Linked DNA regions of Lonchura striata. The protein of the gene in region 4 interacts with the protein of the main gene of each other region in a pairwise test. Links are inferred from orthologs where the notes say so. Each region holds a gene or a part of one and is shown on either strand. Other genes may lie near its edges.

Region 1 (7,793 bases), on a different chromosome or scaffold from region 4:
GGAAGGGAGAAAGGAGTAAGGTGATGGAGCAAGAAGCAGCCTGTTCTAGCTGATCCCTTCTTTTGTGAAGGCTGAATGGACTAGTATCCCACAAAATTAAAAATATTACCTTGAACGGTTTTTCCCAGATAATCACCATGTCTTTCTTTATTAATGACATGCTGATATATCTTTCCAGTGGTGATATTGTTATCTTTATAGAGACTGATGTCCAAAAATCTCTCATAATTTCCCAAATCTAAGTCAACTTCTCCACCGTCATTTAATACAAAAACTTCACCTGAAAAAAGAAAGCAAAACAGACAGAAAAACAACAAAATAATCAGAAATTATTAAGCATACAGCAGGAATACCACAGACATCTTAAAACAGAAGAAAGAAAATTAAATTATATATGACAACGACACAACAGTAAAGTCCATACTGCAACCCAATTTGAATAGTCATTCTGTATGACTTAATATCTAAGTCAGTTTTACATCTAATATCCATCTCTCAGATACATATAGTTTTGCAAATAAAATGTAAGTTACATTGCCAAAATATTGAAGTAACATAAATATTTAAATAGCATTTCAACAGCAGAATAATCCTTCACTGAAAGAAAACAACCTCTAGGAATCGTAAATCAGCAACAAATAAAATATTAATTTACTTGCAGGAGAGAAAAACCATGCTTTCATAAGCAGGAATTATTATACATATTCAAAGTATTTCATATAAATTCTTGTTGATTGGATCTAGTTTAATGATTGAGGCTTTGATCAGAAGTAAAGTTATGATGAACAAAACTGCTTCTTCAAACGTAATCACCATTTCGGAGTCAGTTGTTTCAGTATATTTGGTTCACCATGTCCACAGAAAGGGTTATTTCTGACCCTGAAAAATCCACTTAAATACCCTTCAGGTATTTAATACCCTTTTCTCAGCCCTCTAAAGTGTCTCTAAATTCTGAATCTAGTCAACTTCTGACAGAACTCAAGTTACCAGATCTTGAGGTAAGCCTGGAAAGCTCTTCAGAAAAACTGTATATGTTTTGTCATGACCCAATAAATCAATGGCAAAACAAGTTACATTACTAATGCAGAAAATAAAATGTGGACAACAGAAATGTATATCCCATCAAAGCACAGCACTCCAATTCAATAAATTTAGGTTCTCTAAGCTTCACTAATGTTTTTGGCTAGATTTTTTTACTAAAACGAGAAATTAAGGCAACTCTAATGAAAGCACTTATATCAGAAGGCACTGATACCCACAGAACAGCATTCTCAAGTAACTCTTAAGGACTTAAAATTACAAGTAAGTTTCATAGCACTATTTATAAAGGGGTTTTAATCAAGTTGAACTGAAGACAGCATTAACTGAACAAGTCATGCAGCTAGGATTTTCCTAGTAAAGTGGTATTTTATAGAAAGGAAGCATCTGCTCATAACAGTATCTTCAAAAAAACAGGCTTCTGTTTCTTAACTTAGAGCAGACAGTGTCCTTGAGAACACAGAGTAAGCAATAAACTTTCAAAATAATGATAAAACAGGTTGTAAACACCATACTATTGGTTAAAAAAAAATCACATTCTTATAAATACAAATGTTTACGTGTAAGAGAATAACACTTATCTTCATACCATGTTCATATGGTGAAAAGGTTCCAGCATCTATGTTTATGTAAGGATCAATTTTGATTGCAGTGACACGTAGACCACAGGACTTCAGAATGGTGCCAATGCTGCTTGCAATGATCCCTTTGCCAATGCCCGAAATGACACCACCAGTTACCAGGATGTACTTCATTGGAAAATCAGCACACATGCACAGACCTTGAGCTGGAAATCTAAAACAACAAAGATGTACATCTGATGAATGTAAATTCATGTCTGGGAAGATCACACACTCAATCTGTAAAGATCTAAATGGAAATGACCTTCAGCAACATACAATAAAAATTACCATTCTGGAATCTGGGAGCAGGACTCATCTCTCCCAAGTTATACACCACTATATAAGATAACCAGTCTTGTCCCTATCCTAGGTCCTGATGAGGCTGATCAACACACAGAGCTGAGGTATTAATTTGCCGTTCTAGACTGAAAGGGGTGCTGAGTAGCAAATCCATAAAAGGATTTCAAAAACTTTTTACTATTTATACACTTTAGCAAACAAAGGCACCGGTGTTGATCAGATACAAGCTGCATTTTTCCACCCATCTGAAGCAGGATGACACGTATCTCATCTGTAAATGAATTCAATTCCATTCAGGTGGCTGTGGAGGCTAATCACTGAATAGTGACAGCATGGCTTACCTAAAGCAAGAACTCTAGGGCCAAGAAAACCCTTCCTTATTTAAATATCCAATTCATCCAAAACAACAAGCAACAGCACTTAGTTCTAACGGTCCTCAGTATAAATCAAAGCAATTCAGCTGCTGGTATGAAGCAGTAGATACCCAATGAACATTTAAATTCTTCTTTTTATTAAAGTAACATAAATAATGTTTTTTTATTAGATCTTCAGGAGACTGAGTTCAGAAATGGAACAAGGCATGTTATCAATGCTCTTACATTTCTGGTAATAGGAATTAATAAACTATTTGCTTGTCGATATGATCCAAAAGACGACCATAACCATTAAATGCATTTAACTCAGAAGAAAAAGGAACACCAGGGATTAATTTTTCCCTGCCATTTAATATGTAATTCTTTTAACAGCACAGATTTTAAGACTTGGACCCTCTGTTACAGGCTATCCTACCTCTGTTTCAGGCTATTCCTTCAGAACTCAGCCAATTTAGCTGTCAACACTAACATCATAAAACATCTGTCATTTTCAAAGCTTTTTTAAGGAAAACAAAGGGGATAATTTCAACAACAGGATAAATCTTGCGTACATGCCACTTTATAATTCTTAAATCTTGCTTACAGAAACCAAAATGAAAAGTTTGCTGTGATTTGAGCAAAAACGGCGTTATCCCAGCAGCTTCAGGAAACGTGTTTACTTGAAATAGGTACAGAGAACTGCAGGGTCTCTGCAAGTACAACTGCAAGTCACTTGTAAAAGATGAAGGAAATAGAGTTAGGGGAGGGAGCGCTGAAAGCGAATACTGGAAGAAATCTTTTTGCGGACAAGTGGCACACGAATTACTCCGTCCAGCCTTATCTACAGGAGCTGCCGCCTCCAGCAGGGATTTGCGGGCGCCGCACCCCAAACGTGCCGCGCCGCGGGAGCGCTCGGGGCGCTGCGGCCGAGCGGGGAGAGGCCTCAGACTTACGGAGCTGCTAAAGGCGGCTGCTCCCACCGCAGCCCGGCAGCGCAGAGCAGGAGCGCCGAGCCCGAGCGCACCGCCGGCGGGCCGGGGGGACACAGCGCCCGCAGGCACCGCGCCTCCGAGCGGGGCGGGCGAGCAGGGCGCACAGCGGCCGGCACCACCCCTCCGGGCCACCCCTCCGGGCCAGCCGCGGCGCGGCAGGTGCCGCCGGCCCGCTCCGCCCGGGCCCCGCTCCGCCCGGGCCCCGCTCCGCCCCTGGCGGCGGAAGTGGCGCTCGCGGAAGCGGCGGCAGCGGCCGCCCGCGGTTCCGCAGCGGCGCCGGGCCGGCGCAGCGCGGCCGCCGCCCCGCAGCCATGTTGCGCGGCCTGGGCAGCTGGCTGGGGCTGCAGCGCGCCGGCGAGGAGGCGCTGCTGCCCGCCGGCCGCGGCAGCGGCCCCGCGGAGCAGCAGCAGGACCGCGGCGAGGAGGAGGAGGAGGAGGAGGCAGCGCCGGCCGGGCAGGAGCGGGGCGAGCTGCAGGGGGACTCGGAGGCGCTGCTCAGCCAGGCCAAGGGATTCGGCAGTGAGTGTGCCGGGGCCGCCGGCTTTCAGATATGAGCTAAGGAATCAAGGCTGCGAAGGGCCTTTCGTTGTCGCTTCTTTCAGAGCTGTTTCTAAAGGAGCAGCGTTTCTTAAGTATCTGTTCTGTTGGCACTGTGGGAGGAGGTCTGTGTGTACAGATCTGTCTACGTAGAATAATGTACTTCCATTGCACTGTAGGCGTTTGTGTTCTTTTCATAGGAAAATAATGGTGCTTGATGGTTTTGTTGAACATGTCTTGGAATCACAGAATGGTTTGGGTTAGAAAGGACCTTGAAGATAATATCATTCCAACCCCCCTGCTGTGCCTGCTGGGCCAGGCTTAAAGCTCCATCCAGCCTGGCCCTGAACGCTGCCAGGGATGGGTGAAGCTGTAATTTGCTATAAGTAGAATTCCTGCATTGCTGTAGTGAGTTCTTGGATATAATTAATCCATAGTATAGACCTATACTCTAATTACTAAAGTTTTGTTTTAAGGAAGGGGTTTGGGTTTTGGTTTTTTTTTTAATTGATGCTCTGAAATTCTGGATCAGTATGATTTGAGCTGATTCTGTACTGTGCATTGTCTTGAGCAACCAGAATTGCAGCAGTTTAGTCTGTGTAGTGTGCTCAAATACCTGTCTAGTTGTGGTAAATTGATACTAACCTGCTGCTGACTCTGATTATTCTAATCTGCAAACTGTTCAGGAAGGAAAAAGGAATTTGAGTTTCAGAGGAAAAATAGGTATTGACTGTTATCTATATAAAGATCCATTCCATAATTTGCTCTGTAAATGAAAATTTGATTTAGTGTTCAATGGGTCCATTGTCTGTGACACCAGAATAGATTACGGTGGAAAGGCTTTCTTGCTGTTTTAACACATAATCCTAGAAACCTCTGCATGGACAACAATCTGGGTAGCTGTGTAAAAAGAATCTCCTGGCAGATAAAGAATTTTAGTGGTAAAGCAGAAGCCTTATAGACATGATTTTTGCTCATTATCATGCCATTACAGAAATTATGAGCATTTTGCCAGTGTGAATAATAGAAGTATTGCTAGATACATATTCTTAATATAAGCATACACTTGTGAGATGGAAGATGAGTTTTTTGGTCATTTGAAAGTGTTATTTTCCACCACAAATTCTGTTTTTCTAAGGCTAAGTACCACCTTTTCTGCAGTTTTATAAATAAAAAGCTTTTTGCTCTTCAGCAGTTTCAGGACTGGCCAAAACCACTTTATGCAATAATGCCAGAATGTCACCAGACAGCAAATGTCTCTGCACATTTTGCACCTAGAACTGTTGCATACAGGAGAGGTTCCAGGGATACATGAAACAACCAATAAAAGCTGGTGGGGAGTAAGCAGTCCAGTAGGTTGCTGTTTGCTCTCATAAGAGGAATAATGTATTTGTCTATGTCTAAAATATAGAACTTAACCTTTTTTTACTCCTGAATCATGTGGTGGGTTATAAAGCTTGATAATGGGTATAAAAGATGCTAGTAAGTACTTGAAGGATGTTTGGTTACCACCATTCTGTGACTTGTTACAGATAAAAAAAGTTACACATAAAAAATTGTCTTAGGGCTTGGCTAGACCTCTGCATATTTTGGTATTGATTTGTGATATCATTACAAGAGAACATTTTATCCAACCCAGAGAATAGTCAGCTTTCCAAGAAGTGACATCAGTGTTCCAAACTAACTCGTTCTACCACGGGCTAACAACCATGTGTTAATTTTTATTTTTTTTTTCATTATAAGATTATTTTTTACATTTCTAACCCATAGGGAAATAGTATTTTTTGAGAGTCCTTGAGAAGGAGGGTGGTCATTTGTTTGAAACTGAAGTGCTGGGATTTGGTGGGTTTTTTTTGTGTTGGTTGATTTTTTTGACAACTCCTGTATAAAAGGCAAAGGTGATTCTGCATAACTCTATGTATAAATATGTGACTTCTATTGAGCTGACTACCAAGCAGTACTCCAAGGTCCCTTTCTGCAGGGCTGCTCTCCAGACACTCCTCCCTCAATTTACACTCATCCCACATGCAGAATCCAGCATTTCTTCTTGTTAAATTTCATGCCATTGATGTTTGCCCAGATGTTCCAATCTATCTAGATCTCTCTGCAAGTATTTTATTTACCATGGCACTGACACAGTGTATGTACTGGAACTGAGGTACTGCAGTGAAATGCAGTCATTCAGGTATATTAAGTGCTTCTGACATCATGCTATCTGAGAAATAGTACCAATGTTTTCAAATCTTGTCTGTAAGCTGGTACTTGATGTTTCTGAAGGTTTATTACATACATCTTGCTTCTTGCAAGATGCTTCTTGCACATTTGTTCTCCTTATTTAAAATAGAATAATATGGTGCAGATGGCCATGCTATGTGTATGCAGTTCTTTCCCTGCCACCTCTCTTCAGCACTGTTAACAAAAAGAATGTGAATCTTTGAGAATATTCTTCATTGCCGTTCTGAAACTGTTTTCAGAAAATATGGCTCAGAAAAATGAGTGAACAGGACCACAGTGCTTTTCTTTTCCTAAAGAGAGGAAGATAATGCAAAATAGATAAGGGCAACATCAAGGGCATGCTTCTATGTGAAGACTTTTAAAGGAGGTGTTACCTGCCTGAAATTTTTAATGTATTTGCTGCCTCAGTTTATAAGACTTTATTCTGCATGTTGATTTTCTTAAAAAAAAAAAATCTGTTTTAATACTGTAGCTAAGTTACTTTATGGCTTAATGTCTCCAAAACACTTATATGAAATAGGGAAAGACATTGCTTCAGAAAAGTCATTGGAAAGAAGTATTTCAAGGACCATTAGCAATTTTTGATTTAGTAAACAAGGTTTGTGTATAAATATTTGGTTTGCAGAAAGTTGTAATCATCATCATTAAATAATGCAAACTAGAAAAAGATAAATAGAATTTTAGGAGTTTTTTGTAGGCCACAAGCTGGGTTAAGTTATTTTGAAAGAAACTTTTAAGTAGGTATCCAAACGTCTAAAGAGAAGGTAAAATAAATGTAGAAAGAGAACTGGATGTAAAGAAATCTATTCTCAGGTCTTTGTTTTCTTTTTTGTCTGTGAAAGGTTACCTCTTCAATTTTGCCTCTGCTGCTACAAAAAAGATATCTGAGTCTGTTGCTGAAACAGCACAGACAATAAAGAAGTCTGTAGAAGAAGGAAAAATTGACAGTATCATCGATAAGGTAATTTATTTCTAGACACTTGATCTGAAAGATCTGTTTGCTTGCCATTGTTACAACATGTGGCAAATCCGGCATTTGATAACATTTCTTTAAACTGTCTTCAGATATGTCTTTCAAGATACTCTGCATCTCTTGTCATGATGAATGACGTGACTGAAATGTTTATTCATGGTAGAGTTTCCAAAAAACGGTCACCCTGCTTTTCTCAGTGCTGCACCTGTGTTTGTTCAGTTCCCTCAGGATGTTGATAGACTGGAGAAATACCAGAAGGAAATATGAAAAATGCCAATGTAGGTGGAAGGGCTGAAAGAATTTGAGACAGGCAGTTGGGGACTGGTTTCTTTTTGCCCCATGGTTTATTTAGTTTGAAAAACGAATGAGGTAGCTTGCATCTTATAGGCACCTCTGTGCAGAAGTCAGATTTAGCTTGGTATTGTACATATTGTATCCGAGGACTCTAGGGGTATACAGGTACAGTTCCCTAAGAACCAGTGAGCTAATGAAACACCTTGTTACTTGTTCTTTTCCCCACCCTGACCCTGCCCCGTAGTTCTTACCCTCTGTTCCTGTCTGTCAGCTCCAGTTGCTTAACTTGGGCCAGCAAGTGTTCTTCCAGTGCTTTAAGCCACAAACCTGGCAGAAGGAAAAGAACTAAAAAAGAATAAGTGCCATTAAGTGTTCTGTGGTTGCTATTGAGCGATCTGGGAAAGGAAGGGAAAGGGGACCAATCAAAACCATCCCAGCAGTAGTGGGA
Region 2 (8,046 bases), on a different chromosome or scaffold from region 4:
AATGACTGGAAAGCTTGCAAAGCAGGCAAGAGGCTCAGACTGGAACTGGTTAAGTGCCTTCCAGATTTTTGCTCCTACCTGAATCTGAGATGCATGCAGGTCCATGGTGATTATGTGATCTGCACCTGCCACAGACAGCATGTTTGCAACCAACTTGGCAGAGATTGGAGCTCGACTCTTGTACAGGAAAAAAAAAAAAAAACAAAACAAAACAGTATAAGACAAGTTCAACTCCTTCATCAAGATGCCAGCCTTCTGCTTCCAGGCAGTGATTCACAAGCAGTTACTAAAAGGAGCACTCATTAACATTGCATCTTCTCATCAGCTAGTGATTAGACTTCAGTTTATTTTCAAGAAGAACTATATCTTTATGAAAAGATCATTTTGCAGTCCAATGTCCCCAAGTTTAATGAACTGAACAGAGGTTGGATATTCAGAGAAGGCGACAAAACTTCATTTAAATCCTCTCCAGCAGTCAGGACTTTCAAGGTGTGCATTCCCTGCAAAAACCTTTACCACATCCCTTACCTTGTCCTTTTTGTCCTGCCGGGCATAAGGGAAGCAGGGGATGACAGCTGTGACTCTGCTGGCTGAGGCAATCTTACAGGCATTTATCATGATGAGGAGCTCCATCAGATTGTCATTGATTTCCCCACAGCCACTCTGCACAATGTAGACGTCCTCCCCACGGACACTCTCTCCTATTTCCACACTGGGAACAGATGAGAAGACAGTTGTAGCCAAACACAAATCAAAGCACAGGCAGTACCTGTGCCTGCAGAGCAACCCAGGCACTACATCCCCAAAGGTCTGTGGGTGACAGTGCCAGATAATCGAGGCTGTTGAGCAGGAACACTGCTGTTTATTTGCTCAGTGGCTGTTTTACAGCTCTCACTCATCAGATTTAATGGTCTAGCCAGTAAAGCTAAAAGCACTCTGCATGTACTCTATCTCAACACAAGCTGAGCATGTAAACAGCCCAGAGCAGGCCTTGTTCCCCTGGAATCACAAGCACAGGCACCTCTAAAAGCAGCAGTGTACAAAGCAGCAAGGATCATGGCAAGTCAAACTGCTACCAAAGCAACACTGCAGCTAATTATCAGATTGAGACTCATAGCAGCCATGCAGTGGCTCCAGCAGAGAAGCACTCCAGCCTTTCACTCTGGAAAGGCCTCTGGGGTTAATTTTCTCCTGGGTGCAGTGCACACTAATCCCTGCTGATGAAGGGCCTGAACACAAGCCAAAGGTCCTGTTTGCCAGCAGCAAATGCCAGCTCCAGTGCACGTATGGACACACCTGAGCCAGAAAGAGTGGGAAAGAAGCCACTTCATTTACAGAGCCCCTCAGGGTAGAGTTCTAACTCAAATATTTCCTTCTCTCACCTTTCTGATCTCTTCAAACTTTTTTTGACGACTGTTATATATTTCTATTCTTACTGCTCAATATCCATCAGCAAGTTGCTGCCATCTTTACTGCCCACTGACTTACAGGATGCATCCATCTCTTGTGTAGAGTTTCTGCCAAAGAGAACTCTCTGCTGGGGAACTGTGATTATCAGCAGTTGGCACATAAGTGTCATCTTCAATATTAGGGTGATTTAAGATATTTATGGTACAAAAAACTCTATGAATTATTCTGTTGAAACAGTCTTTCTCTTCTGGGGAACCACCTGCTGCCAGTTTATTAGGGTAAGTAAGATGCTTTTTAAGTCTTCAAGTCGTATTACCTGCTGACATAGGAACCTGCTGGGCAGCCAGCTAGATGGGTAAGAGTAGTTAATAAAGAACAAAGAGAACAGTGCCAGGGCTGTAAATCAAATAGAACTTTTTGTAACTCCTCTACACCTCTCTGTACTACCTCTGAGGTTTCACAAACAATACCCATGGCAAGAGGCACATGATATCGTACGTCACATGTACATCCTGGATTTTTGTGGGAAAAAAAAATTCTGCTTCCAGAAGGAGTGGGTTGGAGCAATCAAGGTTCTTTGCATTACACTTTGTGGTGTATACACGGTTAGTATATTCTCTAAGACAAGCTTAAGGAGCTCTGAACAACTTTAAACCTTTTTAGCTTTACACAGGATGGCAGCAAGATTCTTAAAGCACAGATACATAAAACAAAGCGAATGTTAGGTCTCAAAGCTGGAGGGACACAGACTGCGTGACTGCAAATGCACCGTGGGATACACGGAGGTGTGAGCCACTTTCCTTAAGAATTCTATTGACACCTTCTAAGACTGTGAAGCTCCTCAGAGAAGTTTAAAGTTACCAACTACGTGCTAAGCACAAAGTTACGAAGCCTCGAGTCATCAGAGTTAAGATTTAAGCATGAAAAAGCCTAATCAGTGTAGGTGTAACTCCGAGATGCGCCATCCCATCGGCTCGCGGCGCTGGGATGGAGGGGGAATGGGGAATGGGATGGCGAACTGCACCGCTCCAACGCTCGCCACATGGGCCCGCTCACACAAACCCTGCACGCCCCGGAGCCCCGCGCGGCCCCGGGCGCTGGGGACGGCCCAAGGGCGGCGGGGGCAGCGCGCGTGGGGCCCGCTGGAGGCACGGCCCGGGCCGCGCGTGGCTCCGGGCCGGCACCGAGAGCCGGGTCCGGCCGAGGGGACGCGCGGTGCACCCGCGGGCTCCGGGGCAGCAGGGGTCCGGCGGGAGCGCTCCGGGGATGCCTCCGAGCGCAGCTCCGCGTCTCTGCAGCCGGGCCCGACCGCACGCCCCCGAACTACAGCCCCCATCATCCCCCTCGCGGAGGCCGCGCGGCACCGAGCGCCGCAGCGCCGCGCGGCCCGCCGGGAGCTGTAGTGCGACCGCGCCCCGCCCCGCCTCGCCTCACCATGTCTCCTGGTTGCTGAACTTCTTGGTGACCACCTTGCCCAGCTCCAGGCCCAAACGGTCGGCGATCTTCTGGGACAAGTCCTGGTGCGAGCTACCGCTGAAGATCTTGATGTTGGGCATGGCGGCGGCTGCGGCACCCTTTTTCTCCTCCTCCTCCTCGTCGCTCCGCCACGCAGCGGCCGCGGCTGCCGCGCGGGGACCCGCCCGCCTCCTGCGAGGACGCGGCACGGTGGGCACAGGTCACACCGATCCCCTCTACGCCGCCATCTTACCCTTTCCCGCCTACTGCGACGACCCTTTATAGCCTCTCCGCCCCTAGGACACGCCCCCACTCGCTTCTCATTGGCTGATATACCTCAGGGGCGTGGTTCCGCCAACGGGCGAAGCAGGAGTGGGCGTGGCTTGGTGCGTCTCCTTCCCCTTGAGGACGAAGGGAGGCGAGCTCAGCCTCCCGCCGGGGGCGGGACCTAGGGCAGGAGGCGGCCCGCGATTGGTCGCTGTGCGGCGGCCTGGGCTGCGATTGGCCAGGGCGGCGGCGGCGGCAGGAGCGCGCGGCCGGCCCTGTCCCGCGCGGCCGCGGCCGGAGCAGCCGGCCCGGCGGCCATGATGGCGGCCGCGCGCCGGGGCGGGAGCGGCGGCGGCCCCGCTGCGGCCCGGCCGCGCCGCGCCCGCGCCCCCGCCCCGCTCCGCCCCTCTCCCGCCGCCGCCGGGCCCCGCCGCGCCGCCGCGCCGTTACCTCAGCATGCCGGCCTGCCCGCGCCCGCCGCCGCCGTCCCCCGCCGTCCCCCTCGGCTGCGCGGAGCTGGCGTCACCGCGGGCCGCGTGTGAGGCGGTACCGGCTGACAGCGGGCGGCGGCGGGCCCGCGCGGCAGCGCCGAGCCCCGCGCCCGCCCTGCCCTTCAGCGGCTCTTGCGATTCGGGTCGCGGCTGCGGCCGCGGGGGCTGCTCTAACAGGCCGATTCATTCCCGAGCGGTTTTCACCTTTATGATCGGGATTGTGTACCCCATTCTGTGCCAAATTACATACTGATACACATATAGATACATGCATGTGTGTGTATCTATCTTATATATAATTACCTATGTAACTAACTATGGGCTAACACTAAATCAGTCTTCTGTGACTTAGCCGTTTGTATGTGACTGCATTATGCTTATTTATTTCTCCTTAGCGAAATGAAACATTGTGCTTAAGGGTTTTTAATCTTTAAACCTGGAAATAATGTAATCATAGAATATCCTGGGTTGTGAGGGAATCACAAACTCCTGACTCATGGCCCTGCACAGGACACCCCCAAGAATTCCGCTAATGTGATTTTTATAGTGGTTCTAAATTTCTAAATTTCTGATCCAGTCTCTGGTTGTTAATGTCCTTTTTCTAAGCCTTAATTATCTCAAATTACCTTTCACTGCTTTGAAGGAAATGACACTCACAGTTTAGTTTTTATATATTATAAATCCCCTCAAAATAAAAAAGCCCTGTGGTTCGTCACAGAAAGTGCAGGAATTGATAATTACTCACATTTCTGTGTTTCTATCAGACATACAACAACAAGCAAGTCCAGGGCAATGATGACACCAAGCCAGTGACTCTGCGCTCCCTGCCCGTGCTTGTTATTTTTCCCAGAAAGTGAAGGAGGAAGATTGACACATTTATGTAAATATTAAGGAAAAAGAAAAAAAAGCCACAGACAGCTTTTTCAGAATTTTCATTCAATTTTGTAATTCCTAATCATATTACCTGAATTTCTGAGAGACAATAAACTTCTGCAGTGAATTTGATTTGCTTCAAGTCCTTGAGAATTCAACTAGAAGAAATCATTCACAGTCAAAAGGGGGTGTGGGTCTGGACATGTTTTCTTTATTTTCTTAAAACTCTCCTGGCCCCAAGTGCTGCTGCCACTATCCCCCCCAAAGACCCATAAATTACTGACTACAATACCATGCTTGGAGGAGGTTTTCTATAACACTTTGTACAGTGTCATTAAATTTGGAATTCATCTGCATAAAGTAGATAATCAATTCCCATGCTTGGCATTGATGGAAGTGGAATATTAATATTGGTAATTTTGATTATTTTCTGGTGTAGCTGTAGGAATTTTGAGATGCTGTGACAGACAACAAATCCAGGGAATGGGGAAGGAAGAACATAGCCCTTTGCTTCTAATTTGTTGCTAATCATTACTCATCTTAACAAACAAAATTAATCTTAGCAGTGAAGAAAATTTCACTGGAGAGTGGCTACCTCATGGTTCAAGTGATGGGAATTGAAGATACCTCCCAAATTTCCAGCAGACACATTTTTGCCCCAGACCCACAGCACTGCAGCCATTCACTGCTGACTCCAGGCCTTTGATCTGGGGCACGCCTTGGTTTTGAAGTATTTGCTCCACTCTCGTTTTAAATTCCATTTAATTGAATACAGAATGAGAGTTTTCTGTGCTCCAACATCCCAGGAACAGAAAACAGAAACATCTACGTTTATTTGTGGACCAGGCACTGGGACTCTGAGGCCGAAGGCAGCAGGGGGTATATTTAAACACCCAAATTATGCCTCTCACTGATGAGCCCTGCCTGGGCTTCCCTCTGCAGGACTTTAGAAGAAGCTTTCCTGTCATGTTCCTCCTGGCATCACAGAGATGGAATTTGGAGGAGTGAAAAATCTGACCCAAAAAAAAGGGAATTAAATCCTTAATCCTAAACCCAGGAACTAGCAACCTGTTATGTGTAAAATACTTTTTTTCCCTTTCTGAGCTGGCGGCCAGGTGTGTTTTCACACCCACCTGCTTCCCTCAGTATTTCAGCCTCCACCGTGCCTTTGTAGATTAGTCAGGCTTTGTTCCTGAGGACAAAAGTCCACCTCCACTAACAGCTCACTGAGCTCTTGGAACAGGATAACCTCAGAGATTTGCTTAAGGAGAAGCTCTTAAGGCACCAAAGTCTAAGTTAAACAAAGCAAAAACTCGCTCAGGAGGTTCCTCAGCCACAGCTTGTCTACGAGCAGTGTGCTTTGCCATGCAGGGACAAGGAGAAGCAGCTTTGAAGAGTGAGAGGTTTATCTGGTTCTTGGGATGAAAGGAGAGATTGTGTGGTTGCATCCATTGAAAACCAAATTCGCACTGGCTTGGGAGTCAGGATTTCTGTCAGGATATTCAAAGGATGCTCAGGGAAATGATCAGAGATCATGAAAGTGTTTTGGAGTGTCTCATCTCTTGTGTGGATGCTCTTATTCAGAATTAAAGCACCTCGTTGCAGCTGGTAAGCCTCATTCTGAAAGCAAAATACAACAAATTGAATTATTTCCTTTCAATCAAAAGGATTTTATTTGGTTTTCCTGTGCTTTACAGTACGGACAAGCACAAGCTGGCCTGGGCAAGCAGAAAGGACAAGCTTATGGCCTGAGGTGCTCTGTTCCATCAAGTTCTGTAAATTGCGAATTAAATTACCGTCCAACTATTTTACTTACCTGATTATAAGGAGGTGCAATTAATCAGAAATACCTCTGTGTGTCATAAGCTGAGAATGAATTTCCCAGGAAGTTTCAAGCAGCACATTAACAGCATCAAATTTGATGGCAATGCCAATCAAGACAAGAGCCTTTGTCCCCCTCCTGGCACTTTCCTGCATACAATTGCCACTCAATTACCACCAGCAGTTAATCAAGAGCACATTTTCATACAAAAAAGTCTGTGGCTGAGGGTTGTTATTTCTTTTTGTTGCCTTGTGACTTCAGTGCCTCACAGCCGGTTCTGTTAATGAGTGGCACTTGATGGAAATAACACCGGCCTCTGCCCTTTTGCCTCGGCGGCTGAAAGTAGGAGCTGGACCTCAAAAAAAAGTAAAGTAGAGAAGGAGTGGGAGGATGGATAGAAAAGTAGAGGCTGAGATTAAAAAAATACCAAAAAGGTTGGAAGGCTGAAAAGTAGAGGTTAAAAAGCTGATGCCAAAAAGGGGTGGTAGACTGACATGAGAGCAGAAGGAGAGGAGAGGCTGGTGGAGAAAGTTTAGGAATGGTGCTCACCCTTAGCACTGTAAATATTCCCAGAGTTACACAGGACATTGCTGGACCACACCCAGCAAGGAAAAGCTCACCTTTTATCGGGAAAAAGCTAAAATTCTGGGAAATAAATGGTATTGTCAAGTCTTCACTGGAACCAATACAGACTTGGAGATCGTTTTTAAAGGATCCTGACTAGTTCCCTTTGTGTTCCTGATCTTTCCACTCAGCGTTTTTATTGTGCCTTCCTAAGGAGCCCAGGTAAAATATGAGGAATGAGCCATCTTGCCTTAGGAAGAGGTGTAGATTTAGGATTTTAGGAAGAGGTTAGATTTAGGAGTATTTCCAAGATGCTTTTCGAAAGTGGGATTTAGTAAAGCATTTAAAATGTCCTGACCTCGAGCATGTCCCCAGCCCTTTCATCTTCTCACCAGCTCTTGGCACTGGCAGCAAACCTTAGAGGGGCAGCACTGGAATTTCTGCCACTTTGGGCATGGTGTGTTTGCCTTTTAATAACTTTAATATTCCAGCTGCAGAAACCCTGCTCCATCCGTTCTGTGTGTGGGGGACAGGTGACAGCCAGGGGCACTGTCTCAGCTGGCCTGGGAGGCTTTGCAGCAGCTGCAGTGGGATGAGGTGTCTGCTCATGCCCTGACATGGAATTACATAACATGACAGAAAAACCTCTGGAAAAATTTCCTATCAAGTGTGCAGACTGTTTTGGTGTATATTAGGCATGTTTGGGTGCTGTAAATAGGCTGAGATGACTGTGCTCCCTGGCAGACTTCTCCCATGTGCACAGAAAGCCATAGGTGTCCTGCCCAGCCCCACTGTGACTGCCCACGTGAGGAATTTGTTAGGATATTTCACACAGGAATCCAGACACTGTGCTTTAAATGAGGATAAAATTTGGACATTGCTCACTTCCATTTGACTGTCAGCTCTCCTGGGCACGATGAAAGCAGCAGTGGGTCCCAGCTATTGAGCTTACTCTGCTGTTGTATCTGGGGCTCCTGCAAGTCCTGTGTAGTGCTGCCAAGACCTTGGAGGGGATGGAAATCCTGACGGGAGAATGTGACTGCTCCACCATGGGGATTAGAGTTCAAAGTGCTCTCAGTCATGGTGCCCAGTTATAGTCTCCAGCTGGCAATGACCAGCAAAGTTCACAGAGACACAAAACCTATCTTGGGACTGCTGCTTGAG
Region 3 (7,737 bases), on a different chromosome or scaffold from region 4:
CCAGTGCCCATCCTCGGCCTGCAGCGCTGCGTAGAACCGCATCCCGTTGCGGGCCGCCTCCCGGGCCGAGCCGGCCGCCGGCAGCGGCTGCAGCGTCGCGCCCTGTGGGGAGACAGGGGCAGCTCAGCGCTGCGCCCCGGGCACGGCCCCGCCGCCCCGGCCCGGGCCCCCCGCACCGTGTCCAGCCCGAGGCTGTGCTGCTCCAGCGCCGTCTGCGCTCGCCGCTCCCCGGCATCGCCTTCGCCATCGCCCAGGTAGCGCCAGAGCTGCCGCCCGCCCTCGCAGCGCAGCCGCCAGTCCGGCAGCTCCGTGGCCGCCGCCGAGCGCCAAGGGCCGCCGCGCCGCCGAACCGCCCTGCCGGACACGGGCACCGTGAGCCGCGGCCGCCACCGCCGGGACCCACACACCGCCCCCGCTCTCCATCGCGCCGCCGGCACTCACACGCCGTCCGCCGCCATCGCCGCCCCGACCCCGCCGCCGGCTGGTCCCACATCGCCTCACGGGCGGCAGCCAATGGCGGCGCCCGGCCCGCCCCGTCTCCTCCCGGCCCGGCCCGCCCCGTCTCCTCCCGGCCCGCCCCATCTCCTCCCGCCCGCCCCATCTCCGCCCGGCCCGCCCCGTCTCCTCCCGGCCCTCCCGTCACGGGACAGCCCCGGCAAGCTGCTGGGGCTGCGCCCCTCCGTCGCACATCTGCCCCTGGCACAGGAGTGCCATCCCTTCCACAGACGCCGACAGCCGAGCTGTCCCTTTGGGTGACAGCGCCAGCCCCTAGAGCGACTGTATCCCCCTCCGTGCACCCCCAAAGTCCAGGCGTGCGGTTTCCGTCGTTAATGGAAGTAACAAAACAACTCCGGCCCAGCCTGGTGCCCAGCTCATGTGGGCCACGAGGGACTGGGGAGATGTGTCGGGGTGCAGTGCCAGCCCTGGCACAGCGCACCCTGACCCGCGTGTGCCCACGCTAAACTGGAAGAAAAGCCGTTCCATGTCTGTGCACTGCCCAGAGACAAAAGAGCTACTCACAAATGTTGCACCCATCAACACCCCAGGACAGAAAAATGCCTGTCTATTAATACTTACATATCATTAATACTTACAGTATATAATGCACACTATGAGCTTAATTCAAAATACTCCTCTTCTAGCAAACAGGTCTTCACTCACATCCAAAATAACATCAGGGATTATCTGCAAAGGATGCAATGATTTTATTTGATAATTAAATAATTAATATTGTATTTATTTCATAAACTAGGATTAGGTCACTCAGTTCAGCCCTGGCTGTGTTCAGTAAGAGCAAAATGTTTTTTGGATAGTGCTGGACTTTTCCTGGAGGGAGAATGAATGGGGATAATACATTTGACTTGTGTATCATCCCACTGGTCCTCAGCAGGGAGAGCTGTGCTGCTTCTCTAGCAGTTTATATGAACAGAGAGAACTAGAAGTTCACTGACATGGTTGTTCTATTTGAGGCTTAATAGTCTGTTTATTTTTGGTTTAAAAAAAAAAAAACCTGTCATAATGACTCTGCCCGAAACGAGTTTAATGAAAGTATCCACTTGTCCATGGATGCCAAAATCTTAAGATAATTTATGGTAATATTTGCCTAAGGGGAGTGATGGAGGATGAACAACTTAGTTTTACTTTTCTGTCTCTATACAACCCACCTGCACCAAAAATTTTTAATAATTGCCAAATTCCTGTTATTTAGACCTTGTTTTCATCCACGTTTTTCTGTGTCTGAACCTCATCTGGATTCTGCCAGGAGGTAGCTCACCTCTGGCTGCTGTGTTTGTAGGTGCCAGGGAACCTGCTCCCTGCAAAGCTGCTGTGTGTGCTGGCACTGTGAGTGCAGCCCTGCAGAGGCACAGGCAATTTCTTCACCCTCCCACCCAAATTCCTCTGCTTTCATTACTTTTTTTGTCCCAGTTCAATGACCACTGGCATTTGTCTCATGGTCTGGCAGAGCCTGGCGCCACACACACCCGAGAGACAAAGAAATAGGCTGTCTTTTCTCCTGGTATGAGGAGCCCACATTGTGAGGAGACAGGCAGAGGGCTGAAGTGTTTTGCTCAGCTTTGGGCACTGAAAAACCCTCTTGCTTCTTTAAACACATCAGCCCAAAACTCTGGCGAGGAAGCTCTGACCCTGAGGAAAGAAGCCCCAAGGTTGCACCTGCCTATTCGAAGATCAGAACATGAATTTTAGAATAACAGAAGCTACTCTTTGGGCAGCAGTGAAAGCACCACTCACAGCCCCATACTCATATCCAGACCTCCTGGACTGTCCCAGGCTGGGTTAGGGATGATCCAGGCCAGGAAAACAGCCTTTACAAAGGATATTAGGCCAGATAAAAATCAGGAAAGTCTCTTGGAGCTGCTCATTAGCAGAAGTAGAAGAGGGTCAAGGTTTCTGGTGTTCACATCTGATCCTGCTGCTCCTTCCCACCCTATCAGGACATAATTCCAGATCATCACCTGTAAAATATAGAAGTCGGAATGATTTGGGGAGAAATGGCAGCAAGAATCACCAGGAAAGAGAATTTTAAGATTGTTCAAGTTTTGATCTGTCAAATGCTACTTTTTCTGTTCCATTTTAAGGAAAGGTCACTTTACAGAATGACATCAGAATATGGTTTAAGGAGATGATCTAGGACCTTGTCTCTGACTAGAAAAGGTTTGCTTTAATGCATTTCTTGGCTGAGGACTGAGCTAGAGATCTACCGGATCAAATTTCTATCAACAGAAAAATGCTGTCTCTTTCCTGCTGACAGAGAGCCCCATTTATAGCCAGCTCTTACAGGAATGCAAGTACTCCTGGAAAAAATCAAATAGTGCAAAAATTGCTGACAAAATACCTCCACACTAGAAACACCACTACCTAAAAGCATCCCTGCTGTCCCTGCTAGCCCCACCAGAGCACAGATAACTGTTGTCGTTTGCAATACCCTAAATGCAAGAATTTCAGTGGTCATGTAAATATTTAGTCAACAAATTCAACCTTAATGCTGGAGAAATTATTTTTCCCCAAATCAATTTGAGCCTGTTAGAAAAACTTTTATGAACTGATGTAAGGAAATTATCAATGTAGATGTTTTTGGGAGATTTTTTTTGGGGGGGTTGTTGTTGTTGTTGTTTTGGGGTTTTTTTGATTGTTGGTTTTTTTTTTTCAAGTAACAAAGTCAGTGTCATAGATCAGTAGATTTGGGAAAACTGCCAGGGAATATGTCTGTCCAGCAACAGGGTTTATATAAAAGTGCATTTAATGCCAGTTCATGGTGGCTGCTGGGGCTGGCAGGGGACTTCTGAACAAGTTTTATATCAAGATCCCATTTAAAAGTAAATAAAGAATTTAGGTTTGAGATAACTTTTTAAAGTTTCTAAAAAGACATTTTTTTTTCCTAGTGTGAATCAGTATACAAACAATAACTCATATTTTTCTGAGTTCTGCATGTTGATTTACACATCCCTTCACAGAATTGGTTCAAAACATTTGCAGTTTCACCTGTCTCTGGTGTTAGGTGGCTATTTCTTTAATATTTCAATATTTATTGAACAATACACACAAAAAAGTATAAGTTTTATGCTCACACTGACTGCAAAATGTATGCTTTCACTCCCATGGTATAAATGGCTTTGCACAAGAAGCAAGGCTTTCAGTTTGACAAAGCATTTTATTGGTGGTATGTTTGGTGAAGCAGAGCGAATTGAAATAACCTTATTTTCCCTGTCTGGCCTGACTCTACAATCTTAAAACAGTAGAAAGCAGAAAAAGGGTGTTCAATATTAATAGTGTGCTCCCAATGACCTGTAGTAAACATAGATGTACAAAGAATTGCTATTTTTGCATACTCACTGTTCAGAGCAGAACAGAGCATTCACATCTTTGAATCGCAAGCTTGATTCACATTCTGTGCATTGAAAGACCGATCTAATGAACAGAGAGTAGGCATTCTATATTTGAAAAATATGAACAAATAAATGGCACCATAATAGATTTATTTGTAATGTGTAACAACTGGGTCTAGGGATAATCTCCAAGTGCTTCTTTAAACAAAAAAAAGCTTACTGCAATACATTTTGAAACCGGATATATCCCTATATACGTGTCACTTAGAAAAATTGGCTGATTGCAACTATGCCCCTTACCCCTTCAGAAAACAAAGCGGGCGGCTTTGCAGCAGGCGGGCGGCTCCGCGGGGCGGGCGGGCGGCTCCGCGGGGCGGGCGGCTCCGCGGGGCGGGCGCAGCGCCCCGCCCCTGCCCCGCGGCCATAAGAAGCGGCGGGTCCCCGCGGCGCCCGGCCACGCCGCATCGCCGTGCCGCAGCCCCGCCGGCCGCGGGGAGGTGAGAGGGGCCGCGGGACGCCGGGTGGGTGTCGGCAGGGCAGAACCACCGCTCCACGTACCTCCGATCTGGAGCGCTGCTCAACCTTGCGGACGGCAAGCAGGCAGGGCTGGAGCATGAAAAGGGGATTTTTGTTCGGGTATTTGCTGCCGTGTCTGGTAACTGCTAAGTGGGGGAGGACATCGGCTGTGGGATCAGACTCAGAAGCGTGTGGTGGAGAAACAGTAGCCAGGTCGCAGGGCAGGAGATATTTACCGATGGGATATGAACGAAATGAGTGCCAGGCAATAGGGCTTCTTTATTTTCCCGGCTTTTGGGAAGGTGGGTTGGCAGCTCTCCCTCTTTGATCAGTGTCTCTTTGGTTTGCCCGTTTGTGAAATCTGCAGGGAACGCTGCAATCTGAATTGCTATCATATCCCAAGAGGGTCTTCAGATCAAATATGGGAGAGTGACGTGCTCATTTTGACCTGCTGGCAGTCATCAAAACTGGTTCCTACCGGGTTCCCCTGACTGCTGGGCTGGAGACAGGTCTGCAGGCAGAGGCAAGGCGAGGGGACCTGTGACAGCAGGGACAGCAAAACCATTCTGAAGCCCCAGAGCAGACCCCATGCCTTCTCCTCTCCTGTCTTGTGGCTCTGCTGTTTTCGAGAGCCCCTAGCAGCAGAGTTATGGTCTCTTGTGACCTTCCCCCCGAAGCCAGGGCTGCTGCCAGAGCTTCCCAGCTCTCCCTTGAACGAGGGTCTGACCTTGCTGATCCACGGGCGGAGCCCCAGGGTGGCCGTGCTTCCAAATCCATCGGAATTGCTGGAGCTTGCCCAGGCTGGCGCTCCCAGCGTCCCCTCTGACCGCAGGGCCACGCCACGACCATGTCCGAGCTGGAGAAGGCGATGATCGCCATCATCGATGCCTTCCACCAGTACTCCGGGAAGGAGGGAGACAAGCACAAGCTGAAGAAATCGGAGCTGAAGGAGCTCATCAACAACGAGCTGACCCATTTCCTCGGGGTAAGTACTGCCCTCCCCACAGCCTGGCTGGGCTCAGGGGCCATCCAACAGCCCCTGCACTCCCCTAACTCTGTCTCCCACGGGAAGCCTGCACAGGCAAAGACATTTATTTACACAGCAGGGCATTGAATCCTTTGTCCCAGCTCTACAGAGCAGCAAGATGAGGGGAACAGCCTATATGACAGACTGAGGTGTGGGCTGGACTAGGAAAACTACCTTCCCTGACACGGGGGACAGCCTTGCCCCAAGGGGTTCAAGATGTCACTTCCCAGCACAACAGCTGTAGCTGCAATTCCCTGGGGCACAGGACAACGCCCCACATAGACTGGGAACATCCACAAAATATCTGGGATGTGTCTGAACAGAGATTCAGCCATGAGAGCACTTGGGAAATGGGCACACATTACTGTCTGGGCCTCGCTGTGGTCCTCCTCAGCTTTGGCTGCCTGTTTCTATCCCTTCAGGAAATCAAAGACCAGGAGACTGTGGACAAAGTCATGGAGGCACTGGACTGCGATGGGGATGCAGAGTGCGACTTCCAGGAGTTCGTGGCCTTTATTGCAATGGTCACTGCTGCTTGCCATGAGTTCTTTGAGCATGAGTGAACTGGTGGGAAGCAGGTGAGCCCCTTCTGCTCATGCTGGAGAGAGGCAAGGCAGCATTGCTCCTCCGGGAGAAGGACTGGCTGTGATTACAGACACCTTAGAGTTCAGCTTGCACTAGACTTAAGCAGCTTATTAAAAGTGTTGTGGCTTTGTGAACAAAACCCACTTGTGTGGCTCAGGAAAGGCTATTTATTGGCTAGTGCCCATTGGGCTGGATGCAGTGAGAGAGTGCCTTGCCTCAAGCTCCTTCCCTGCTGTTTTAAGTCAGGAATTTGCATGGGCTAGAAGCAGAGGGATGCTGTGATCCAAGCTTGTGTGCAAAGGAAAAAAAGGAAATTCAAGGGTTGAAGGAAGAGATGATGCAGAGGGGCTGGTTTTGGAAACTTGCTGCCCAGCCCACTGGCCTGAATGGGAAAGCTCCCAGTGACTCCTGTGAGCTCTAGGCATGGCATCAGAAACCAGCTCCTGTCCCATCACAGGTGCTCAGCAGAGCCCACCTATTTCTTGGTACATTGAGACACCCTTGGCTTGCAAGGCAAAGCGTAACAATCTAAAAGCATAACCATCTGACAGCTCAGGCTTTTCACTTATTGATCAACCCTGCTTTTAGCAGCCAGCAGAACTGGAAGCAACAGCATATGAGGCTCCTGCACTGGGGTCAGCTCCTGGGCCTGGGATATGCCTTGACAAGGTGTCCAGGCTCAATCAGAGGGGAAGTGGGAGTGGCCCAGTGTGACCTCAGACCAGGCACAGCCTCCTGAGTGTGTGGAAATGACAAGGAATAAAACATTGGTTTGGCCTCTGGTGAAAAACGTGTCCTTTTGTGCCAGGCTGCTCTGCACTGAGAGAGAAAGGCTGGGGGATAAGGCCTGAAGCACTGCTACAGCTCATCCCCCTGAGGTTCTTGTTGGGCATTGACCCCTCATCTCTTCCCTGGTGTCACTGTAACTGGCCAGACAACCCAGGATTGTCACCAGCACTGTGTTCCAGCTGGCTGCCCATTCTGCCAGGTCTTCGGGGACATAGGGACAAGGGCCCTCTGCAGGATGTGACTGCTGCTACCAGGGTCATCCAGGGGTTTGCAGTGGTGAGCCCTTGCAAAGGCTCAGCTAAACCCAGGACAACCCCCAAAAAGCCTATGCTTCTGCCTCTCCAGTCTGCACCTGCCATCCAGCTCAGCAATACCTGGCAGCTGGGCCTTCCTGGCCTGCAGCACCAACAGTGGCAGATGCACAGCTAAGATGCTCTCAGATGGTACTGGTTTTACCTCATTCCACATACTAGAATGATTTTATGCACAAAATGACATCTTTGGACAGGGACCATCTTGGTATTCTCACCAGCCTCCCCCAAGCTGTGCAAGGGGATGCTCAGGCAGAGCTGGGCACCCAAGGGACAGCATCTTGTACTCCACCTAGCACAAAAAGCCATTTTGCCATCCCAGGGTGGTGCTCACTTGATGAGAAGCAGTTTAGCATCCAAGTTACTTCCACCACATTTTTAACATCCTCCTCAGGTCTTGGTTGAGCTGCTTTCAACAGTGGCACAGACCTGAGGCCATGTGTGAGAACAGTGGATGGAGACCCCATCTGTCTCCATGTCCCCTAGATGAGGCAGGGTACACAGGACTCTGGACCCTCTCTCAAGCCTGAGCCTGAGTCCAGCAAAGGGGTCTGATTTTTCAGTACAAGGGTCTGCCCATGGACCACAGCTGTCATGGTTCTGACTCTGTAAAGAGGATTCAAATGGATTTCCCACCAGGAATGACACTATGAGAGTTTCCTAT
Region 4 (8,356 bases):
GAGCCTCTGCTCCCCAGCACAGGCAGAAGTGACCTCCAAGAAGCATGTGAAGATGAAGGGTGTGCTTTCATGCACTCACATGACATGTGGGACAACAGTTCAGGAGATAAAGCAGCTCAGCAGCACAGCCACAACTGCTCTGCATTAATCACATTGAGTCTCTCCCCCTAAAACATGAGAGGATATTTCACCTACAAGATGTACATACCTTTTTAAGAGGAACTGTGCTTCTGAACCAGTTATAGTCAGGAGAGACTTTAATCTCTCCCATGATGTTTAGAAAAATCTCAGTTTGGGTCAGCCTGAAAAGAGAGAGAATGAGAAATCAATAGCACAGTTTCACCGTGGGCCACTCTCAAAAGCTGTGCTATGTAAATAAAGCAGTGCAGGCTGATTTGCTCTTATCAGTTGATGGCACTACCTCTGACTCACACCAAGTTCACTTTTGCTCAAACCATGCAATTATTCTCCCAGGAGGCAGTCACCTGACTGCCTTACTGCACCAACCTAATTATGAAATGATGATGTTTCTGTAGAAGCATTCCCGTGTGACAGCTGCAGAGAAAGTCAATTGTGTTTCAGGCTGTAAGTGGCTAAAAAACCTAAAGCATGTTCTTGGTTTCTTTTAAATTGATAAGGCACTCCAAGTTTATAGCTAATAAATATTCATACAATTCACTCAGGAATTCACACCACAGACATTATTTCATGAACCCACTCAGTATTCAGGTCTCGTTTTTCCATCTGAGTATAACTGATCCAAACGAGTCCCAGAGCACATCAGGAACATCACCTGATCCGAGGCTTAATTTACAGAAAATCCTTGAAATTTTAATTCTATCCACATGGAAGCAGGCTCTTGTCAGGAGTTACCAATGAAGAAATACTTGAAGCACACCAATTAATACAGCACAAATTGATTCTGAGTTGGGTCCACATAGGAATGCTACTAATTCATTCCCCAGCCAGAATGTCCAAGCATACATAATGAGTATCTTATAATACTCCATTAATTAGTAATAAACACTGACGTAGCTCCAAGATTTAATTGTTTGGGTTTTTTTTTTAAGCAGCAAGAAACCATTAGCTTCCATTTATACAACAAATGTCATCAAACACTTCTGAAGTTTGCAGACTCAATAGCTTCACCCTGAAAGCCAGCTGCCTTGGGAGATTATTTTCATGAATTCACACACAGCACCGTGAAAAGACAAAAAGAAACTTTTGCGCTTGTTATTTAACAGTTGCCAAGTCTAAATCAATAGGTTTTGTTTCTTAATTCTTCATAAAATAAGACCTCGTTGTGTTCTGTGAGTCACTCCAATTCATTTGTCCCTGCAGGAGAGCTGCTGGTGAACAGCTTAACCAGTTTATGGGGTTACAGCTGGATTATCAGTGAGTTACAATTTCCTCATCTTTCAGTCTACATTTGCCATCTTCCAAGTGAAGAAAATATTAATTTTAAAAGGGAAAATACTTTCTAAACTACAGGACAAACACACACCTTCCACAGAGCACGTGCTACACCTCCCATGTACAAAGGTTTGAGATGGGTTGTTCAGCTGTGGCTGTTATTTCAAATTTGTGTGGTTTCACTTTGCTGCTTGCACCAACTGTTCTGCTCACTATCAAAGTCTGGCAGCAGGTAAAATTGCAGCAAGGGTAAAATGAATTTATTCCAATAACCTGCAAAGCAGAGCAGGTGCAAGGATGCTTTCCTGGGCTGGGGGCCTGCAGCCATTGGAGCGAGGAAACCACGGCTCACACTAATTCCTTTCTGTAACCACACATCAATGGCCTCCTAAAAGCTCTTCAGCAAACGACAGTGTGACAAAATTATGGCAGACAAATTGCAGGAAATGCCTTAAAACACACATTCTCTTGCCCTGGACCAAGAAGCAGAAGTCCTGGTCAGGGCCCCGCACGCTGGAGAGGGAGACTCTTCCTGCTGCAGAGGGTTGGCAGCCTCTTCCTGCCGGGATCACCTCGCTGCTTGTGCCACCTCAGTCTTGCAGCACCCTTGAGCGAATGGCTGGGGGCAGGGAGCACAGAGCTGTGCCATTACAGCTGATAAGGAAAAGGCAGCGTGCAGGTGGATTTTGTGCTGGCCCTGTACCTTGTCTGGTACCACAGCGAGTTTAGAGTCCATCCAAAACGCAAATTTTGAACTTCCCTGTTCACTTGTTACCACTCATGGAAGTGAGCCACTGGCCACTAACACCAGGGCTGATTGCCACCAGCTTTCTTCTGAAGGAGCATCTGAGATCACCACTCCTAAGGGCTGCCTTTCTTTCCACACAAGAAGAAACTTGTTTGTTCTCTTACTGAAATGGTTTTTTTTTTCTCCTTTGCACAGAAATGCAGCATTAAATTTGTACACACAAATAACTGACATTAACAACAGCTACATGTGATTTCCAGCCACAGAGAAGCTGAACCATGAACTCAAAACAGGAATTCAGCTACTGAAGGTAACTCAGACCACAAAGAGCCTGATGTTGGTCATGATCAGCCTCTAAACACACAAGTTTCATTTTTCGTAAAACCAAACAACCTGAAGAACTTCAAGCTTTTAAAAACAATTCCTCTGGAAGAATCACCTATGGACGTGCTCAGAGCATTTGGTAATAGTCTCTCTGTGAGTAATTTCACTACACTAATGACATACTCCATTCATTATTGATTTTACAAGACCATAAGAAGATTTATGGCTAACTGATGCGGCGGCAGCACCTTCCCCTCTGCCCCAGCGCTGCTCCCACCAACCCTGCCCCTGCTCCTTCCCCCTCCTCAACCACGTTTGGCTCCCCAGCTTTGCAGGGAGAAGGGGACAAACCCCCACACCCTCAGCACAGGCTGAGGCAGCCCCTTCCCCTGAGAGACCCCCCAGCAAACGGGGCCCCGGGGGCTTCGGGCTCCCTGCGGGGCCGCGTCCCGACCCTCGCCCATCCCTCCCTCCCTCCCTCAGGGGCCGCCCCGCTCGCCTCAGCGCCCACGCGGCCCCTCAGAGCTCCCTGCTCGGTGCGGGGCGCTAAGCTCGGCGGCAGGCCCGGGGACCCCCGCCTCTCCCATGGCTGCGGGGCGCTCACCGGCTGGCCGGGCCCGGGGACGAGGAGCGGCACCGGGAGCAGCAGCGGCACCGGGAGCTGCCAGCGGCACCGGGAGCTGCCAGCGGCCGCCGCCGCTGTCCCGCCCCGCCGGGAGCTCCCGCCGGCCGCCGCTTCCGGGTGCTGCGCCGTGCCGCCCACGTGACCGGGGCGGGGCGGAAGCGGCTCCGCCGCCATCGCTACCGAGGCGGAAGCCGCGTTAACTCAGGGAATGATTCGCCTTGGAAGGGAGTTTTTAAGAGTCGTTTTGTTCCAACCCCCCGCCCACGATCAGGGACTACCAGATCACGTTGCTCCGAGCCCCGTCTAACCTGTTCTTGAACACTTCCAGGGATGGGCCGCAGCTTCCCCGGCAATCTGTTCGCTGCGGGGCAGCTCAGGTTAATTGAGAAGAGCGACAGGTGATACCGAGTCATTCCTCTAATGAACAGCTGGAGTCAAGTAGCCCCGTTTAATTGCTATCTAATAAATAGGAGTTGAAGGTGAGCTGAAAGAAACAGACCTACAGTTGTCTGCAGTTATAGGTATATATAAGGTGTGTGTATATGCCTTATATATACCTATATATATCTATATATATATCAAAGGCGTGCCTAAAGAATACACTTAATTAGATAATATGTATTTTTACAATACTCTTCCCTGATTGAAGACCGCCCCACAACACACGGCATCATTTTCCATTCGCTCTCAAAATCGCTTCAGTTTGCCTGAAGTTTTTTTGCTCCTGTCTCAGCCTGATCTTTTCACGAAAGGCTTTAAAAAAAACACATTTCTGTGATCTAAGGGAAATATTCCTCTCGTATCGTATTTGGAAAGAGGAATTAAAGGGCGGAACCACCGGGAATAAACATACCTGGACGGTGTGCCCAGGACAGACCGAGAGAGCCGGGGGGGGCGCTGCCGATCGCAGACTACATTTCCCGCAATGCCACGCGGCGCCCACGCACCCATTCACTGTTGGGACTACACTTCCCATGCCACCCCGCGAGGCGAGTGCGTTCCCGCGGGGCGCGCCGCGGCGCGATGCCCGCTGGGATCTGCAGTCCCTCGGTGACGCGCGGTGCCGTCACGGAGGCGTTACCGGGGCGGGCGGGGCCGCACCGTCGCCAGCGAGGCCTTGTCGGCGGCGGGGGGAGCCGGCCGGGCCCGCGGCCGCTGCACCATGTCCGCCTGCCACAGCTGCGCCGCCGCCGCCCGCCTGTTCGGCTCCACGCTGCCCTCCGCCCGCAGAGGTAACCGCGCTCCGGCCGCCGCCTTCCCTCAGCGGGCCCGGCGCGCTCGGCCCTGAGGGAGCCCGGCCCCGCCGCTGCCCTTATCGCGCTGTGACAGCGCCGGGCACGGCGGCCTTTCCCCCCTTTTTCCCTCCTTTTTGCCGGTTGCTGGTGCGGTGCGGGTGGGGGTGAGGGCAGCCTTACGCGCTGTGAAGTATCGGAGAATTCGCCCTCGCTGTGGGGAAGTGGGATGCGAAAATAGGGTTTATTTCTACAGAAGTGATGCTCGGCAGCTGTCGGCCAGTGTGTGTTACTCTGCAGTGGGAGTAAATGTGTTTCATGGGCTTAAAAATGGCTTAATTGCCTTACTTAATTAAAAGCCTACCTGTGTGGTAGCCTAAACTTGAAATATTTCTCATAAAAATGCGTTTAGTTAGCAAAATTAATTATTTTCAACTTGGTAGAAGGACAAGACTGTGCCAGCTGCTCGCTGGAAGTTGAGGGCTGTGGGAGGTTATTTTTTTACTGTTTTTCCTTGTTTACCCTTTTTTTTGTATTCTTGGGGGTGCTGAGAGCAGACAAACAATGTGCTGCTTTGGGTGGAAAGCAGGGCACCCCCAAATAGTGCTGAAAAACATCTTTGTTGCCACTTTTGCAACAATATTTTCAATCACTCTACCCTCAGCAATAGCCTGGTGAGTCAGAGATCGTTTACTGCCCTTAAGAGGCGAGTTAACTCTTTGTAGGTGACTTTACATTTATATCTCGAATACCAGCCGTGCTGAAATGTTCTAACCTGTACTTTCAAATCCAGCCTGTCTGGCCCTACGCAATCCCTCTGAAACAATCAGCTTCAAAGCAAGCACTGTTTGAAATTCATTACAGAATTATCTTTTGTTAAGTTTGAGGGGTTTTTTGGTCAGAACTAAGATTCAAAAGGATTATGTAAAAGAGCAAATAAGAATAAAATGTAGATAGAGCTATACAATTATTTAACCACCAGCTTTCAATGAAAGTTGTTTAAAAATAAATGTATCTTACTTTAGTGTGTCTTTCATATTAAATTTGTATTAAATCTTGTCTTCTGCCAGGTGCTTTGTTTGCTGTTGCTGGTTGCTGCAAACTTGAGAGAGTTCAGAGTGCACAGATCAGTGAAATCAATCGAGTGTTATGTGGGACAGTTACAGTTTGTCACAATTTCCCTGTCACTTTCCTGAGCAGTAGATACCTCCAGGATCCCCCAGGCTTGCCCCAAAAGTCAGTATTTATTCTGTCAAGCATCAATTAAAGGTTAATAAGGTGTTAAGGAGCTTCCCATCATTTCTTAATGCGCCTGGATTGGTTCCATGGCTGCCAGGGACAAATCTTTTGAAGTTGGTGCTCCGAAAAAAAAACATCACCTGAGCCACCCTGCCAGGTGTGTAAGCACATCCTGCCAGCTGTTACATACTGGAACATTTATCAGAGTCTGGATCCATCAGCAGCAGCTGCCAGGCATTGAGCTGGAATGTTGATTTCCCTTGGAAATCTCCCTCTGGGCTTATTGACTCAAGGAAGTAGTGGTGATAACTTTCTTATTGCTTCACTGTGGAATTATACCATGATATTTTGTCCAAAAACACCTCTCAGACCTCACAATAAGCACACGCTTAGCCACCAGCTGACGTAGCAGTATTAGGATGTTTTTCCCCTGGTTTAGGCTTCACAGCTCAGTAGTCAGTGCTGTGTAAGGTTTCATAGTTCATCCCATACAGTTCTCAGTGCATTTTCTGTCTCACAAGAGCATTCTGAATTAAAATGAGGACTGAAATGTTTCAGCTTTTGTGTTAGTGCTTCAGCCTTTCTCCACAGGTCAAATCCCCCCGTGTTACTTGTGTGACTCTAGGTTTTGTTCCAGGGAGGAGAGGTGGTCATTGTTTCATTTTTAAGGGGTCTTTTCTCAGTTTCTAAGCTGCTCAGAACAACTATTGCATTGTAAACACTCACCAAAGCTTGTTCTTTACTGACAAGTGCACTTGGCACACAGAGTTGTCAGAGTTCTCTGCACATTCAGTTAAAAAATACAACTGCTTCTGAGAGCCAGCCAGTGTTTTCAAGTTTTCTGTGTTGTTTTTATAGCTTACCCTCTGTAATCTAAAATGTGTTGCAATGGCACTCAGCAGAGGAATTTAAAATGGGGAAGCTCATTGATTGTTATTCCTCCCTCACGTTTACAGACAGAAGCAATGCTGTAAAGAGATTTTTAAAAGGTTAATTTTTAGTCATGTTAAAAATAGTACAAGTCATCTTCAGGTTAAGGAATCTTAAGCAGCATGTAAGTTAATAAACCAGCTTCAAATCTCATTTGACTGTCATCTTTATTGTGACTTTGAAGAGGCCTGTAAGAGTTTTCCTGGTAAATTAAGTTCCTTCTTCTTTATTTTTCTCCCTTCTTATTATAGTAACAAGGTGAATTTTCAGAGTATCCTCTTTCAGCTAAGCTCCCATCTCTTGGTTGTTGCTTCTTCTTTCAGAGCAAATGAGCTGTGCTTCTCTTGCCATTCCTAATTTTTCTTTTTTATTTTTGAAGAGTTTCTGGATTTTTCCATAGGATTCTCTTATCCTTATAACTATGTGTTGTCAGCAAGTCTGTAGTTGCCATTGTTGCTCTATAGCTCTGCTGTCAGTAGAGCACAGAGTCCTGATCAAAACCAGCGAGCCAAGTGAGAAATTTGCCACTTGAAATGCGAGAGATGAGATACAGATTCCAGGCTGTTGTTGATGTTGAAATCACAAGCACAACATAGGTTGGCTCACGTCATGCCCTGCCATGAAATGCAATCCTGCCCGTGTTGCAAGAGGAGGAAAAGGCTGTTTAGTTTCTCAGTGAGGGTTTTTTTCATATTGGCAATAAAATATTTTAGCAAAGTTAAGATTACGCTGAGCTTGCCGGTGCCGGCCGTCGGTGAGTGCCAAATGGGACACGGCTGCTCAGTTTTCCTCAGCACAATTCTTGGTGCCAAGAGGTGCCTCAAATTCCTGGAAACTAATTTTTAATGGAGTTCCCAAGTGAAAGCCAAATCCAGACGTGCAGTCATTGAGTCTGAAACACCTAATCTTTGCATAATAAAGAGACTCTTCAAAAGTTTCTCTCGGGGAGTTGAATTATTTCACAATAGAAGCTGTAAGTCGATTGTGGTTATCATTCTGAGGATCAGTTTCATAACTGAGATGTTCCCTATTTCATGCCACAACAGGACTCTCAGTTGTCTGATGTTAGAGGACCTGAAATTATTTTGGGGTCTTTTTTGGACAACCAAAGTAACTTTCAACAAGGTAAACATTAAGGTGGTAAAGATCATCTATTTTGGATAATTAAAATCTGTATGTTCAGAGCTGAATTCTGTTGCCAAAATCTTTAAGCTGCACTTAAAGTAAATCAGTTCTGAGATTTGGTGGCAATGGCATTAAAACAGGAGTATTTTAGTATTTACATTTTTTTCTTTTTTTTTTTTTTTTTTTTTTTTTTTAGGTATTACTTGTGGTCGTACACGCATCCCTGTTTTAGGAAAACTTGGGACTTTTGAAACTTGTTCTCTAAAACGAATTCCTCTTAGAAACTTTTCAGAAACACCAGCATATTTTGCTTCAAAGGATGGTGCAAGCAAGGATGGTTCTGGAGATGGAAGCAAGGTAATTTCCACACACTGGGGGTTTCAGTAGTTTATGTAAAATGTTCCTTGCATTTCTATTTTTTGCTTAAAATTAATCTTGAAATTTTGGCCAACTCCTGACATTTCTAGTCCTTCAAATTGATGCAACTGGCAGTGAAGAAAAAATAAACTGTATTGGGAATTTTTTAGGAGATAAAGCTTGTAAACATCCCACAATGCTTTTCCCAGTTTTATAGCTCTTTTTGTTCAGTGTAAACTTGAAAACTTTATTGAATGTCATAAATCAAGAACAGGATTTCAGGAAAGAGTAGTAATCAGAGCTATTCTCCTTCAGAAGGCTGGTGCTTCCAAGTTGAAGTATATTTTAAATGCTTCTGGGTTT

Evidence for each region.
Region 1: the proteins of SPG21 (region 4) and CTPS2 interact in binary tests that used the Homo sapiens proteins (3 or more experiments, as listed by UniProt). The two-hybrid records come from large-scale screens. The link is inferred for Lonchura striata from reciprocal best matches to the Homo sapiens genes SPG21 and CTPS2.
Region 2: the proteins of SPG21 (region 4) and PRPS1 interact in binary tests that used the Homo sapiens proteins (3 or more experiments, as listed by UniProt). The two-hybrid records come from large-scale screens. The link is inferred for Lonchura striata from reciprocal best matches to the Homo sapiens genes SPG21 and PRPS1.
Region 3: the proteins of SPG21 (region 4) and S100B interact in binary tests that used the Homo sapiens proteins (3 or more experiments, as listed by UniProt). The two-hybrid records come from large-scale screens. The link is inferred for Lonchura striata from reciprocal best matches to the Homo sapiens genes SPG21 and S100B.

What each region holds. Positions count from the first base shown.
Region 1 is NC_134604.1:100,639,450-100,647,242, forward strand, and holds the start of CTPS2 (CTP synthase 2), read right to left. Parts: upstream 3,412-7,793; 5' UTR 3,268-3,411; intron 3,171-3,267; exon of another isoform or gene 2,919-3,170; intron 1,834-2,918; 5' UTR 1,812-1,833; coding exon 1,628-1,811; intron 281-1,627; coding exon 110-280; intron 1-109. Other genes in the region: SYAP1 (synapse-associated protein 1), read left to right, coding at 3,618-3,825, 6,921-7,039. UniProt on the Homo sapiens protein: Catalyzes the ATP-dependent amination of UTP to CTP with either L-glutamine or ammonia as the source of nitrogen. Constitutes the rate-limiting enzyme in the synthesis of cytosine nucleotides.
Region 2 is NC_134616.1:18,596,759-18,604,804, reverse strand, and holds the start of PRPS1 (ribose-phosphate pyrophosphokinase 1), read right to left. Parts: upstream 3,089-8,046; 5' UTR 2,967-3,088; coding exon 2,845-2,966; intron 713-2,844; coding exon 529-712; intron 178-528; coding exon 79-177; intron 1-78. UniProt on the Homo sapiens protein: Catalyzes the synthesis of phosphoribosylpyrophosphate (PRPP) that is essential for nucleotide synthesis.
Region 3 is NC_134610.1:33,263,423-33,271,159, reverse strand, and holds S100B (protein S100-B), read left to right. Parts: upstream 1-4,266; 5' UTR 4,267-4,342; intron 4,343-5,193; 5' UTR 5,194-5,208; coding exon 5,209-5,346; intron 5,347-5,810; coding exon 5,811-5,951; 3' UTR 5,952-6,750; downstream 6,751-7,737. Other genes in the region: LSS (lanosterol synthase), read right to left, coding at 1-42. UniProt on the Homo sapiens protein: Small zinc- and- and calcium-binding protein that is highly expressed in astrocytes and constitutes one of the most abundant soluble proteins in brain.
Region 4 is NC_134613.1:21,912,163-21,920,518, forward strand, and holds the start of SPG21 (maspardin), read right to left. Parts: upstream 3,182-8,356; 5' UTR 3,090-3,181; intron 303-3,089; 5' UTR 272-302; coding exon 209-271; intron 1-208. Other genes in the region: CLPX (ATP-dependent clpX-like chaperone, mitochondrial), read left to right, coding at 4,273-4,342, 7,833-7,993. UniProt on the Homo sapiens protein: May play a role as a negative regulatory factor in CD4-dependent T-cell activation.